Linked DNA regions of Stegostoma tigrinum. The protein of the gene in region 1 purifies or fractionates together with the protein of each later gene. This does not show direct contact. Links are inferred from orthologs where the notes say so. Each region holds a gene or a part of one and is shown on either strand. Other genes may lie near its edges.

What was found.
Region 2: the proteins of afg2b (region 1) and timm13 purify together in Homo sapiens (co-immunoprecipitation; 3 studies listed by BioGRID and IntAct, with this or other methods). This does not show direct contact. The link is inferred for Stegostoma tigrinum from reciprocal best matches to the Homo sapiens genes AFG2B and TIMM13.

Annotation. Positions count from the first base shown.
Region 1 is NC_081386.1:37,033,919-37,041,854, reverse strand, and holds the start of afg2b (spermatogenesis-associated protein 5-like protein 1), read left to right. Parts: upstream 1-4,924; 5' UTR 4,925-4,982; coding exon 4,983-6,047; intron 6,048-6,405; coding exon 6,406-6,591; intron 6,592-7,204; coding exon 7,205-7,363; intron 7,364-7,518; coding exon 7,519-7,728; intron 7,729-7,764; exon of another isoform or gene 7,765-7,936. Other genes in the region: arpin-like, read right to left, coding at 2,690-2,896, 3,523-3,655, 4,379-4,454, 4,544-4,635. UniProt on the Homo sapiens protein: ATP-dependent chaperone part of the 55LCC heterohexameric ATPase complex which is chromatin-associated and promotes replisome proteostasis to maintain replication fork progression and genome stability.
Region 2 is NC_081383.1:26,604,770-26,612,140, reverse strand, and holds the start of timm13 (mitochondrial import inner membrane translocase subunit Tim13), read left to right. Parts: upstream 1-4,356; 5' UTR 4,357-4,423; coding exon 4,424-4,546; intron 4,547-7,371. UniProt on the Homo sapiens protein: Mitochondrial intermembrane chaperone that participates in the import and insertion of some multi-pass transmembrane proteins into the mitochondrial inner membrane.

The sequences.
Region 1 (7,936 bases):
AATAATTCCTGTTTTATTTCAGATTTCGAGCATTCACAGTTCTTTGTTCTTTTATACTGGTGAATCTGCTCTACACTCCTTCCAATGAAATCCTATCCTTATAGAGTGGTGACCAGACATGCACAGTATACTCCAGCTGTGGTCTCATCAAAATAGAGTACAGCAGCAAAAAAATCTCCCTACTCTTATAATTTACACCAAGGCCAAGTTGTAATGTGTCCCATATGCCTTCTGAACCATCCTATTAACCTGTCCTGCTGCCTTTAGGAAACTATGGACAAGCAACCCAAGATCCTATGATCCTCAGCTTCCTAGCGTCCTGCCATTCATTGATTACTCCTTTCTTCCAAATGTCACATCTTATTTTTCAAAGTTAAATTTCATTTACACTGATCTGCCCAATCTGTTCATGTCTACCTGCAATCCAAGATTCTTTCCTCACTGTCAGCCAGTGAAACTTTGCATAACAGAGCCACACTGCAAATAGACCCTTCGGTCCAACTAGTCTATGCTAACCATTTTCCCCAAATTAAGCAAGTCCCACTTGCCTGTCTTTGAACCATATCCCTCCAATGTTTCCTATTCATGTATTTCTCCAAATGTCTTTCAAATATCATAACTGTACCCACATCCACCACTTCCTCTGACACTTCATTCCACATATGAACCAGTGTAAAAAAACTGCCCCATTAGAACTTTCTCCTCTCACCTTGAAAATATGTCCCCTATTTTTGAACACCCCCTATCCTAGGCAAAAATCCTTCCTGTTAACCGTTTCTATGTCCCTCATGATTTTATAAATCTCTACAAGGTCACCCCTCAACAACCTACACTCCAGTAAAAACTTATTTTCAACACCTCACCCCACTCTCATCTACTGTTTATATAGATCATGAACAATAAGGGGCCCAGCACTGATCCCTGTGGACACCTGCCTCGAGTCACACAAACAGCCTTCTGTCACTTCTCTCTCTCTCTAATCACTAAACCAAATTTGGATCCAAATTGCCAAGTTACCCTGGATTCCATGTGCTTTTACTTTTTCTTTAAAAAAAAGTCAGTTGCCCACTTGGAACCCTGTTAATATCTTTGCTGAAATCCATACAAACTACATCAACTACGAGACACTCATCTAACACTTGGAAAAATTCTATCAAATTTGTTAGGCACAACCTCCCTCTGACAAAGCCATGTTGAATATTCCTGATCAAACCTTGCCTTCTTAATCACTTAAATGCATCTGCATAGTAACTTTTAATAGTACATGTCCCAGCTCACAGGTTCCACTGGGCTTCAGAGTTCTGCAATCTCTCGCTATTTAAAATAATGCTCCTTTTCCAATCTTAGTGATAAACGGACAAATTCACAATTTTTCATATTTTAGTCCATCTAAAAATATTGCACACTTAACAGTCTATAAAAGGATATAGGCTGGTTAATATCCACTTGACAATTTTTGTTTTTTTTCTCAAACTCCTATTCTATTATACCTGCCATCTCCCAGGGGAGGTAGTAGTGTAGTGTATGGTCACAGGGCTGATAGTCTAATGTCCTTGTGGGCATGGGTACAAATCCCACTATGTCAGATGATGAGATGTGTGCAATAACAATATAAACAGCTAGGCAAATGGCAGACATTTAACTATTGTCAATTATCATTACAAAGCCCTGTGGTTCACTAATGGCAATGTCATTACCCAGTCTGATCAGCAAACGCACTGTGGTTGACTCTTAAGTTACCCTTCAGCAACTGAGGATGGGAAATAGCTACAAATAGCAGAGCTACTAATTGAGGGGTGATAGATTTAAGACAGATGTCAGAAGCAGGTTCTTTACTTAGAGTGGTAAGGGCATGGAACGCCCTGCCTGCCAATGTAGTTAACTCAGCCACATTAGGGGCATTTAAACAGTCCTTGGATAAGCAGATGGATAATGATGGGATCGTGTAGGGGGAGGGGCTTAGTTCACAGGTCGGTGCAACATCGAGGGCCGAAGGGCCTGTTCTGCGCTGTATTGTTCTATGTTCTAAATAAATGTTGGCCTAGTTCATGAATTAATAAAATAAAACTTATTCAAGACTGTTCCGGTATTCCACTATCAGCCATTATTGATTCCACAATCTTGCCCTTTAAAAGGGCTCACTTTGGTTATACTTTTCATTTTTAAATACTTAAAAGCACCTTATAGTTTTGGTTAAATTTTTGGAATGTTTTCTCTCTAATTTCTCTTTTGCTGATTTCTAAATCTGTCCAGATCTCAGTTCCATACCAATGATACATCCTTCCTGGTGGACTGTTGGAGTATATTTTTAGTGAGGTATGAAAAATTTCAAAAATATATTGCACTGTCCTATCTTTTAAACCATTTTTCCCCAATATTCTGTTTATGTAATTGCCTTGATTCAACTTCAAGGCACTAGATTTTATTAAGAGAGAGTGTGTATACACATGCTTGGGGAAGAGAGAGAGTGGATGTGTCAGATTGAGGGGCTGGGTGAGTAGAATCCCACTATGTACAGATTGCCTTGTTTCTCATTTTCCAACTGTGATGATCAACCATCAGCAATGAAAAATTTGGGGATTCAGACTTGATGGAAACTCTTGCTTCTCGTTTGGTAAGAAATTACAGCTGCAAAAACAGTGAATCTCAGTAAAAATCAATTGTTCCAGGATGTAACATTCAAACTTACAAATAAAAGGACTGTCCCCCAAGGTTTTCAGTCGTAAACAATCTTCAACCTCCAGCTCAATGTCTTCCACCTCTCCCTCTGAGATCCAGAATGCCAAGCTCTGATTGGGGGTGTGTTTCTCTGAGATTTTAATAAGCTCTGGTTTATTAATTAATCGCTTCAGATCTTCAACCAAAATTTTGTCTGTCTGTCCCGCTGCTTCCACCTCTACCGGATGATGTAAAACATGAAAACACAAGGTTAAGGAGCAGGCCTGAGAGCCCATGGCATTAGGTGCTTGACAATTTTCACCTGCTTTTTAATGAGGCTATTCTCGCAGCAATTTTCACTCACTAAGGTTTTACCACTTATGTTTTCAGTCATTTTTCTTTGACACAGACTAAGTCTAAACAGGAAGAAACTCAAATGTTCAGTACTTACCCAAAACTGACGTGCCTGTATGGATCATTTATAATAGGTGGAATGACTTTGAATATGTAATTATTTTTGTTCTCTACAGAAACAAAATGGGATCTCCCACTGCCCCACACCAAAGCTGGTAACATTATCAACACTAATTTCCAGAAAATTTCAATCTCCACATCCTCCTTACTTACACACATGAACAAGAGGAAGCTGTTCAGCCGCTCTTGGCTGTTAGACAGGACCAGTAGAGACCATTCAGCTACTTGAAAGAATTATACACAAATAGGAGGCCATTCACCTTCCCAAATCTAGGAACAGGAACCATTCAACCCTTGAGGCTGTTGTACAAAGTAGGCTATTCACCCTACCAAATCTATTTCAATTTTCAATATGGTCATAGCTACTCAAATTTGGCTTCATATACTCACTGAAGGAAGACATCAAATAGCCAGTGTTGACCTTTTTAGTTTCACTGAAATTTGGTTCAATCTCCACACCAGCAGAATCAAACTTTCTTTTATGGATCCTTGTTGGTTGAATATAAAGAATGAAATAACGATGCTGAAAAGCATAAAGAGTTTTTTTTAAATCTAGACATTTTTGTTCATTAAACCAAGTAGAGCAGTGAATTCTACATAGTTTCCAGTTGTGGCAAAGGATCGTCGGTTACAAACAGAATACTCAGTTTCTGCGAAACTTTGTAAACTTGAGGAAAAAACCAAAAGAACTGTGGATGTCTGTAAATGCAGGAAAACTTCTGCATCCTTGTACTCCAATTCTCTGGATATAAAAGCCATCAATTTTCTACACAAGAGGGTAGATAACTTACAGAGAGAGATACTTCAGGTCAATGACCTTTCATCAGTCCATAGCGTATATAGCAAGTTTTCAAGGACACTTTATCAGGGCTCTGTTGAAAACACAAATACCTGTTTATCATTGGAGCATCATGGATTCGCCCTCCTTGACCTGGTATGGGATTTGAACCTGAAGCTTTTAGTTAGGAGGCAGGTTGCTATACAAATCAGTGCCACATGACCTTCCCAGTATTTCTTTTAACGAAAAGGACTGTGGAGACTGTAAATCCAGCAACTCCTGTTTTTGTTGTGTTTGTAAATTTGAGATTTAATTTCACTTCCGGAGACTCAGGACAAACACTAACACCACGCTCCCGGCTCCCGCCCCGACCGACCGACCACGCCCCACTCTGCTCGTCACAGCCCGGCCTCCAGCAGCAGCACGCACCCCCCCGGGGCCCTCCCGAAACATCATGCCGTCCCTTACCGTGCTCTTTCCGCTCTCGATGATTTGATGGCGGCTGACGGCCCGCAATCTTCCCTCCAGCACCACCCCAGGGCCGCTGCAAACAAAGCGGAGCCGTTACCCCCTTTCAGACCACCCGCTGCCCGCCTCCAATCTCTTTGCAGCTCCCCCGCTACCAGCACTCACCGCTGCAGCTCAGCCGGTTCCCAGCGCCCCGACACCGGCTCCGGGATGACCGGCCTGTTCGCTAACGCTTTATCATCATATATTCTGCTCATAGCGGCTTGTTAGGACCGAAACAGATGACCCAGCGCTTCCGGGATCAGGGCAGGGACCTGCGGACAGATCCCGGTGGAGAGTGGGTGGGTCCACATGCTCAGGGGCGGTGTCTTCTGTGTCAGTGGGCGGAGACACATGCTCAGGGGCGGTGTCTTCTGTGTCAGTGGGCGGAGACATGCTCAGGGGCGGTGTCTTCTGTGTCAGTGGGCGGAGACACATGCTCAGGGGCGGTGTCTTCTGTGTCAGTGGGCGGAGACATGCTCAGGGGCGGTGTCTTCTGTGTCAGTGGGCGGAGACATGCTCAGGGGCGGTGTCCCTGGTGCTAGTGGGCGGAGCTCTGTCGGTAATGGCCGAGCTGCTCCTGCTCCCTGCTGACTTTGGGGACCGGGATTCGCAGCGCTGCCGTCTTGGGCCACGGGTCTTAACCGCTCTGGGCCTCAGCCTGGGTGCACCACTGCGGGTCTGTTTACCGGGAGGCTCAGCTCTGTGCTCTGCTTGGCCACGGGCGGACCGGGCCGAGGGCTTCTTGCAGCTCGACTGCAAATGCGTGAGTCCGGGGCTGTTAGAGAGACCTTGCCGGGGCCTGAGCTTGGGCCTCGGGCACCTAGAGCCCCTCTCCTGTGTTAAACTGAGGCGGGTCCGGGTGCGGGCTGTTCAGTCACATGGACCCGGGCCCGGGCCGGTGGTGGCACAGCTGCTGCTGAAGGAGCTGCTGAGGGGGTTGTTCCTCTGCCCGGGGTTTGTGGTTACGGTAGAGCCGGAGGCCGCGGCCTGGCCTGGGTTGTTCCTGCTGGATGTGGCCGCAGTAGAGCCGGAGCTGTGTCCCGGCAGCGTTGGCGTCCTGGGCCCCGGGACCCAGCTGGAGGTGGCGGAGCGGCTGAACCTGGAGCAGTTCCGAGCCCGAGGAAGGGGCCTGGACCTGGGCAGCCTGCAGCTGTCTGCTGCCCCGCTCCAGGAGATGCTGAACCTTCCGCTTCGTTTCCCGCGGGCCCTGAACCGCCTCGGTCTGCCGTGCCCCCGGGGTTTACTGTTACTTGGGCCTCCGGGGGTGGGGAAAACGGCGCTGCTGCGCGCCGTGTCCCAGGATTTGGCCGCTCCACTGATCCTCGCCTCCCCCGCTACCCTCCGGGGCTCCCGGCCGGGGGAGAGCGAGCAGAGGCTGCGCTGTCTCTTCGCCCAGGCCGAAGCCCAGGCTCGGGCCGGGCCCTGCATCGTCTTCATCGACGACATTGAGTCGCTGTTCCCCCGGAGGGCGGCGGCTGGGAGCCGGCCTGAGGACCGCCTGGTGGCCCAGCTCCTTACTCTGATGGATGGCCTGGAGCCTCGCACTCGCCTTGTCGTGGTAGCCGCCAGCAGCAGCCCCGAAGCCTTGGAACCCGCATTGAGGCGACCCGGCCGCTTTGACCGAGAGGTGCCTGCCTTCCTGAATCGGCCAGTAGTCAGGGTTTGGGAGACAGAGATCCTGGTTTGAGGGAAGAATGGTAGACACCAGGGCAGGGCAGGGCAGAGACGAACCCCTAGGCCAGAGAGAGAGGTACCCGCGGGGTAGGGGTGAGGGAGGAGAGAGACTGGGGGTTTGGGTGGGGGGCAGAGAGACAGATTAAGGATGAGGAAGGCTGAGAGAGTCAGACCTGACGTGGAGAAGTGAAACACTTCCAGGAGCACAAAGTCAGATGTAGGCGATTTTTATGCAACTAAATCCTTAATGGGCGATTTTTATAATTTACTGAATCTGAAAGACTGAGTCTGCCTTTTAACTGCCTTTACAGGTTGTAATCGGGGTTCCAACGACGTCGCAGCGCCGATCCATTCTGGAAGTAGTCACCTCATCAATGCCTCTTGGGGCTGATGTTGATCTGTCCTGGCTGGCAGAAGCTACAAGTGGTTACGTTGGTGCTGATCTGACAGCCCTTTGTCGAGAGGCTGCTCTGCAGGTTGTGAGGCGCAGCTCTCAGGTACTAAAAAGAGCAAAAGAAGCAAGGCCGTGGGGTGTGTTAACCGTGCTGCCCAGGGCATGTGAGGCCTGGAGTGGTGGCTCATAGAATTTATTTGTGCTATTCAAAAACTTACACTAGCTGAGTATAAACCATGTTCAGTCAGTCGCAGAACTAGCCACTAAAAAACAAAAGAACTGTGGATGCTGTAAATCAGGAACAAAAACGGGAGTTGCTGGAAAAGCTCAGCAGGTCTGGCAGCATCTTTGAAGGAGAAAACAGTTAACATTTTGGGTCCAGTGACCCTTCCTGTGAAGGTTCTGAGAAAGGGTCACCAGACCCCAAACATTAACTCTGTTTTCTCCTCCACAGATGCTGCCAGACCTGCTGAGCTGTTCCAGAACTAGCCACGTTCTCAATTAACCTAAAAGTCAGAGTCATAGTTGTACAGCAGGACACCTGGGAGTGCTGAAGACAGTTGTACTCCTGTGAGTTGAGGCCAGATCAGTGTCTGCATGGAGACTCTTCATAGGCGTGCTTTGTTTTTTAATTTTTGCATTAATCAGACAGACTTTAGGAATTATTCTCCTATTTCAAATTTCTCTTTGTAATTATTGACTCTGATTTCTTTAAGGACGCAATGAGCAAGAAAATCACCTTTGCAGACTTCTGTGAAGCAATGAAGATTGTGCAGCCTTCCTGTCTGAGAAGCAGCATCGGGCTTACTGGCTTCAAACCTGTCCATTGGGATCAAATTGGTGGCCTGGAACAAGTCAAACTGAAATTGAGACAGGTGACGAATGTAGCTGTGGTTTAAAGACACAGGTGGCTGTTGTGACCCAAGCCCCTCCCATCTCAGAATTCGCTGTCGCCCACTCCCAGCTGTCTGCTCTAATGGATGAGGCAGATCTTGAATGCAGTCTGTAATTGTTAGCATTCTCTCTGCAGAGTATTGAGTGGCCAATGCTATACCCGCAGGCATTTGAGAGGATGGGGGTGACCCCCACTCGTGGAATTCTGCTGTATGGACCCCCAGGGTGTGCAAAGACCACGCTGGTGAAAGCTGCAGCCTCCAGCTGCCGCTGTCCTTTCCTGTCGATCAGTGGGGCAGATCTCTTTTCACCGTTTGTAGGGGATTCTGAAAAGATTCTGGCTCAGGTGTGTATTTACAACAGGTTCACTCCAGACCGTGTACAGCAAGTTTAATAGTAACCTTATTTAAAGATGTACACTAGCCAAAGTACTTCAGTAAAGCAAAGCCCATGTGTTTTATCACCAACCCTGTACAGATCTATTTCCCTTGTTCTGAGCAATTCAGTTATGTCTATAGTTGTCATGCAGTGAACATCACAAAATACCATTTTCT
Region 2 (7,371 bases), on another chromosome or scaffold:
GCCTGCAAGAATTTGAGGCTAATCAGGGCACAATCTGTAGATGGTATAACGTGGCGAAAATTGTATTTAAACTATTCTTTGCAGAGTACCAAAATTATTTTGCCAAATATTGGAATTCAGTAATATTAAAGTGGAATGATATAAAATCTGCTTAAATCAACTGAAAAGTAGATGTTACTTGCGTTGATATTATTGGATGAGCTTTTAATATGTTCATACAAGTTGCTAACACACCAAAAACAGAAGTGTTTCTGCATATTATGCCTTGCTAACATCATGGACAGTATTTGAAGGCTTATAAGAATATTTTATTGAAAGGTACAATCATATTGATGATTTTGTCACATAGAATGATACATATTGTTCGAGTTAGAGTATTGACAAGTGACATTGACAAATGGTAGTTTACTGGTATATCAGATTAATCACTTTGATTTAATTATTCCTCTGAATTGAAACAATATTTTTTATTCTGTAAATTTTTATATGATTAGCATAAACTAAATGTTTATATTTTCCACAATACTTAACATTGTAGTGTATTAGTGCATTTTTTCAGCATTGCTCATGTACATGAAAAAGTTATTAATGGATCAGGAAACTTCTTTTTCAGAGGTGGTAGCAATTCTGGTTTTCACACCAAGATAATAAAGTGTGAAGCTGGATGAACACAGCAGGCCAAGCAGCATCTCAGGAGCACAAAAGCTGATGTTTCGGGCCTAGACCCTTCATTCTCTCTAGGCCCGAAACGTCAGCTTTTGTGCTCCTGAGATGCTGCTTGGCCTGCTGTGTTCATCCAGCTCCACACTTTGTTATCTTGGATTCTCCAGCATCTGCAGTTCCCATCATTTCTGGGTTTCACACCAACAGGTTAATAGCTGGAATTTGAAACCAGACAAGAAATCTTACAAGTTATTACATTTGATCAGTTAATAATTAAGTTTTTCCTCCCTTCTTTTGAAGCAGTAATATGTGGTGTTTTTCTTCTTCTTCCATGGTATGTAGGTGATTGCCAGGGTCAGAATTTGTTGCCAATCCCTGGAGAAGGTGGTGGTGAGCTACCTTCTTGTACCACTATCATCCCTTTCAGACAGAGGTGTACCCCAGTGCTGTTAGAAAGGGAGACCCAAGATTTTAATCCTGCAACAGTGAAGGGTTGTTGTGTCCCTGAGTACCCCAAAATCCATGCTAAGGTTCCAATTCATGATGATGTGTGGCTAAGAAGGGGCTTACAGATGCTGGTGTTCCATGCATCTGGTACCCTCATTCTTTTAGGTGATAGAAATCTCAGGATTGGAGGATGCTGTCAAACAAATGTTGGTGAGTTGCCACAGTCCATTGTGATGTATTTCTCCATCTCCATGCACTGGTGGTTAAAGGAGTGAAGTTGGTCCGATGAAATGCTGATTAAAGTGGGATGCTTTGTCCTGGATGTTTTATCAGAAATGTAAACACTAGCTGAAAAAAAACTACAGTTGCATTTATTGAAAAAGCAAAAATGAGGTTCAAAGTTTTACAGAAGTCAGGCAAGATAACTATACAGGAGGAAAGCGATTGCTGAAGAGAAAGCAACCAATTTTATGCAGTGTCTTTATATCAATAGCTGGAATATTACAAACAAAATAGAGTAACTAAAGACACATGGACGGATTGATCTGTTAGCAATGACAAATCCAGCTGCAACTTTAGTGAGAATGAAAGTGAGAAATTTAAGCTTTAATATTCACAGGAGTTCTTGCACCTTGTGACAGGTAGCACCCTGTCTCTTGACCAGAAGCACAGATGATTAGGGAAGAAAAATATCACTATTTATAGCTCCAGATTATAAAAGGCATGTAATGTTGCATATTGATACAGCAACATAGATACCCACAGAATTTGTAAAAATGGAATATACAAGTGGATGAGCAGAATCTACAAAAGCACTAGCATGATACTAAAAGAATCACAGAATCCCTACAGTGTGAAGACAGGCTATTCAGTCCTTGAGTCCACATTGACCCTCCAAACAGCATCCCACCTAGACCCACTGCATCCCTCTAATCCTAAATTTCTCATGGTTAACTCACCAAGCCTGCATATCCCTGACCACTATGAGCAATTTCGGCACGATCAACTCACCTAATCTGCATAGATTTGGACTGTGGGAGGAAACTGGAGCACCCAGAGGAAACCCAATGGGAGAATGTCTGTGTGGAGTTTGCACAGTCACCCAAGGGTGGAATCAAACCTGCGTCCCTGGCAGCAGCACTAGTCACTGAGCTACTGTGCGGTGTCCAAAAACAAGGAACAATTTGATGGATTTGTTCACAGAATTAAATGCTTGTGTATTTTCAGAGCAATTCAATGACCGATCTCATTCATTTCATCTTTGGTTTTTTTGTTGAAAATTGGTTTATGAGCACAACATTGTAATGATCAGGAATCAAACCCAGGTCAACTGCTTAGAAGGCAGATATGCTCACCGGTGTTCTGCCAGAATTTCTGTGGCATAGGAAAGTATCTTAGCAGAAGAAGCACATTTAACTGCATATGCAGATCAGAATGCATGTAAAATGTGATGAAGGGAGATTTACCAGAACAAGAATGGGAATTAATTTACTGAATATATTCAGGATCATTAGTCAAGTAGTGTTTCATCAATGAAACATGTGAACCTTAATATTGGTGAAAGTAATGAATCAGGAATAAAAGATCTACTGATAAATAAAACATTTGGTAATTCTTACACATTTCAGTCTACTGTGGATATTTCTTGTATATTATACCAAGCATTTTACATAAACTACTAACCATTCTGTGCCCCATTGTGGTCTGAATAGGATATTGTGCTTTCTGTCAATGTCACCACAGTCCAGTCTTCAGTTTGTTTGAAAGTGAAATTAAACATTCAGTAAACAAGATCAGATAAATTGTTAAGCTGCAGCATTTCACCTTATGTGGATGTAAAAGATAACAATTAAAGAAAAATAGAATGTGGAGCTGGATGAACACAGCAGGCCAAGCAGTATCTTGGGAGCACAAGGGTCTAGGGCTGAAACGTCAGCTTTTGTGCTCCCAAGATAATGCTTGGCCTGCTGTGTTCATCCAGCTCCACACTTCGTTATCTCAGATTCTCCAGCATCTGTAGTTCCCATTATCTCTGAATTAAAGAAAAGTAATCTGCTTAAGTCAATCTTACTCCTTTCCTCACAAACACGGACTTTACTAACTGAGTACAATGTCCAATTTGACTTACTCCTTATACCCAATTCAAGGATAAACCACATCATTTAAACCTTCATAATATACAGGAAGACCAAGAAAAACAGGGATAGAGTCCAGGATGCATTGAGATCAGAAAATGAAGAAACCAGATGCAGTCACAGCATTTATGGAGAGAGAACCAGAGTTATATTTCTGGTTTCCTTCAAAATTCAGGATATACTAAGATGGTGAGAGCATGGTAACACTGAGCACTGAGATTGAACCATGCTGATAGACACCTGCCCCCACACCACCACCCTCACCCCCATCCCAGGCCCAAGGTGACTTTCCACATCAAGCAGATGTTCACCTGCACATCCGCCAATGTGGTATACTGCATCCGAAGTACAGAGTGTGGCTTCCTCTACGCTGGGGAAACCAAGCGGAGGCTTGGGGACTGCTCTGCAGAACACCTACACTCGGTTCACAGTAAACAACTGCACCTCCCAGTTGCGAACCATTTCAACTCCCCCTCCCATTCCTTAGACGACATGTCCATCCTGGGCCTCCTGCAGTGCCATAATGATGCCACCTGTAGGTTGCAGGAACAGCAACTCATATTCCGCTTGGGAACTCTGCAGCCCAATGGTATCAATGTGGACTTCACAAGCTTCAAAATCTCCCCTTCCCCTACTGCAGCCCAAAACCAGCCCACCTCACCCCGCCTCCCTAACCTGTTCTTCCTCTCACCTATCCCCTCCTCCCACCTCAAGCTGCACCTGCATTTTCTACCTACTAACCTCATCCCACCTCCTTGACCTATCCATCCTCCCTGGACTGACCTATCCCCTCCCTACCTCCCCACGCATACTCTCCTCTCCACCTATCTTCTCCTCTATCCATCTTCGGTCCGCCTCCCCCTCTCTCCCTATTTATTTCAGAATCCTCTCCCCCCCCCCCCCCTCCCTATTTATTTCAGAATCCCCCCCCCCCGATGAAGGGGCTAGGCCCGAAATGTCAGCTTTTGTGCTCTTAAGATGCTGCTGGGCCTGCTGTGTTCACCCAGTCCCACACTTTGTTATCCTGCTAGACATGGCCATGTGACTTGAACATTTGGAACGGTGCAATCTGGGAGTTGTAGTTCTCAAAATTTCAGCCGGCAATCGGTGCGCATGCGCCGCTCCGCCTTCCTCGCGCTTGGTCCGTGGCTGCAGTAGGTTAGAGGGCCCTCGCTAGGATGGACAGCTTCTCTTCAGATTTCTCCTCAGGCGGGCCTGGAGGAGGGAAGGTGGACTCCGGGATGATCATGGAGCAGGTGAAACTGCAAATCGCCGTGGCAAACGCACAGGAACTTTTACAGGTTGGTAGGCGCTAAAGAGTATCCAACAGTAGGACCTGGCTCCATGGAGCTCCTCCCTCCAGTTACCGTCCTCACCGGTTCCCGCGGTATGATGGTCGGCCGGTCCGACCAATGAGAATTCAGGCGACGAGGGGGCGGGGGAAATCATTGCATATGACGTCATGGGCACGGTGTCTTGAAGGCAAAGGTCAATCTTCCTTTACAGCGTTCGCCCCCCACGTGGAGGACAAGGACATTGAAAATCCCAACTGAAGCTGGCAACCAGGAAGTTTGCAGGTTTTTTTATTTTTAATGAATGGAATTTTCCATTTCTCAATGCTACGATATCCTGAAAAAAAATCAATCCAATGTAGCTTTGTTAGCTCCTCGAATAGAGTAACAAATTTCAAGGACCTTCCCAGGTCTAGCAAAGGACATAGAGATCGAAAGCACGGAAACAGACCCTTTGGTCAACTCTTCCATATTATCGATTTGTTACCTCTAGGCTTAACTATCATAACACACTTCTACTTGGTCTCCCACATTCAACCTCCTTGTAATCTTAGTGATACCTGAAACTCTGCTCACCTGCAACAAAACTTGTTAACCCATCAACTCTGTGTTCCCTCACATACAAAGGTTCCTTTTTGTAAGCAACATATTAAAATTTTCATCATCTATTTAATTCCTGGCTGTGTTCATCCTTATCTCCCCACACAATTCAAACTTTGAGACCTCAAGAATTCATTTATTCAGATTCCAGCAATGCGTTTATTCATTGCTTCACTATTGGTGGCTGTTGCTACAGTTGCCAAAGCTTTTGTATCCCAAACCACTTGCAATAATTGCCAACATACCTTTGACTTCGTGGTCATATTGTTATATCTGCATGTTAACTTTTGGTTGTTAAGAAGGATCACTGGACCCACAGATGCTGCCAGACCCCCCCGAGTTTCTCCAGCAATTTATGTTTCTGTTTCTGTTAATTTTTTGAGTTTTGACGATATTTCAATGCCTTTAAACACCAATAGTCAATAGTTTCCCACCATCCGTTAGTAGCAAATATACCAACTTTTTCTGACCTGTCTATTCCAAACTCTTTCTGTCCTTTAATTACTCCACTACTCATGCTGTTATGTTACCCTAACCTTGTGAACACATTGAGCCAAGTAAAATGATATGAGGACTAATGAACAAAAGCGTTGTCAAAAAGGTAGGATATAAGGAGTGAAATAAAACAAGGATGCTGATGATCTGGAACAAGAACGTAAATTGCTTGAGAAACTTAGCAGGTCTGGCAGTGTCTGTGAAGAGAAAAGAGGTAATGTTTCGAGATCTGTGATCCTTTTTCAGATGGATATAAGGAGTGTCTGAATGGAGGAAGGAGTGCCAACAAGGCAACTGCAGACTTTAGGACCAAAGCAGCTGAAAGCATGCCCTACACTATCTTAGGGAGGGAGTTGTAGAATTTTGGCTAAATGGCATTTGGTATGCTCGCCTTTACTAGTAGGTGGATTGAGTATAGGAGTTGGGAGGTCATGTTGCAGATGTACTGCACATTGGTTAGGCCAGCATCGGAATACTGCATACAGTTCTGGTCTCCCTACAGTTCTGGTCTCCCTGTTCAAGGAAGGATGGTGTGAAACTTGAAAGGGTTCAGAAAAGATTTACAAGGATATTGTCAGGGTTGGAGGGTTTGAGCTTTAGTTAGAGGCTGAGTAGACTGGGGTTATTTTCTCTGGAATGTCAGAAGCTGAAGGGTGACCTTATAGAAGCCTATGAAACCACCATGAGGGGCATGGATAAGGTAAATAGACAAGGTTTTTTCCTTGGGGTTGAGGAATTCAAAACTACTGGGCATAGGTTTAAGGTGAGAAGGGGAAAAAGGTTCCTAAGAGGCAACTTTTTCATACAGAAGGTGCATGTATGGAATGAGCTGCTAGAGGAAGTGTTGGGGGCTGGTACAATTATGGCATTTAAAAAGACACCTGGATGGCATATGAGTAGGAAGGGTTTAGAGGGATATGGGCCAAATGCTGGCAAATGGGACTAGATTTATTTAGGATATGTGGCCGGCATGGATCGGTTGGACTGAGGGATGTATTTCTGTGCTGTATATGTCAATGTCTAACATGTTTGCATAATTAAGTCCAGAACCAAAGATTACTGGTTAGTTTGGTTTCTTAAACAAAAAAAAATAAAGATGACTAGGTTGTCTTGTGTCCCTTTAGGAAAGGTGAAAACTTTGAATTGTTAATGGCATTATCAAGACTTTTTTTAATGGTATGTGGGCCTCAGTGCCAAATTCAGTATTGTTCCCCATCTTTAGTTGCTAGGTAGTTTCAAAGGCTGGGTAATCACAGTACAGCAGGTCCAGGTAAGGTTGGCAGATTTCCATTCTTAAAGGACATTGGTGAACCAGATGGCCTTTTACGTATATGTAAGTGTATGAATGAGAAGCAGAAATAGTCCTATTGGCCACTACATGCCTGTTCCAGTATTCTGTATGTTTGTATATTTGCATCTACCCCAGATAATATTTGAAGCCCTTGCCTAACAGGAATCTGTCTAATTTTGCCTTTAAAATGCTCAATGATACTTCCTCCACCTCCTTCTGAGACAGAAAGTTCTGAAGTCTCAAAACAGCACGAGAAAAAAGCTTCCACCTTTTCTGAAAACCATGCAGGCTATTAGATCATAGAAGTTATCATAGAGTCACTACAGTGTGGAAACAGGCCCTTCGGCCCTACAAGTCCACACCGGCCTTCAGACCATCCCACCCAGACCCATCACCCTATACCCCACCTAATCTACACAACCCTGAACACAATGGGCAGTGTAACGTG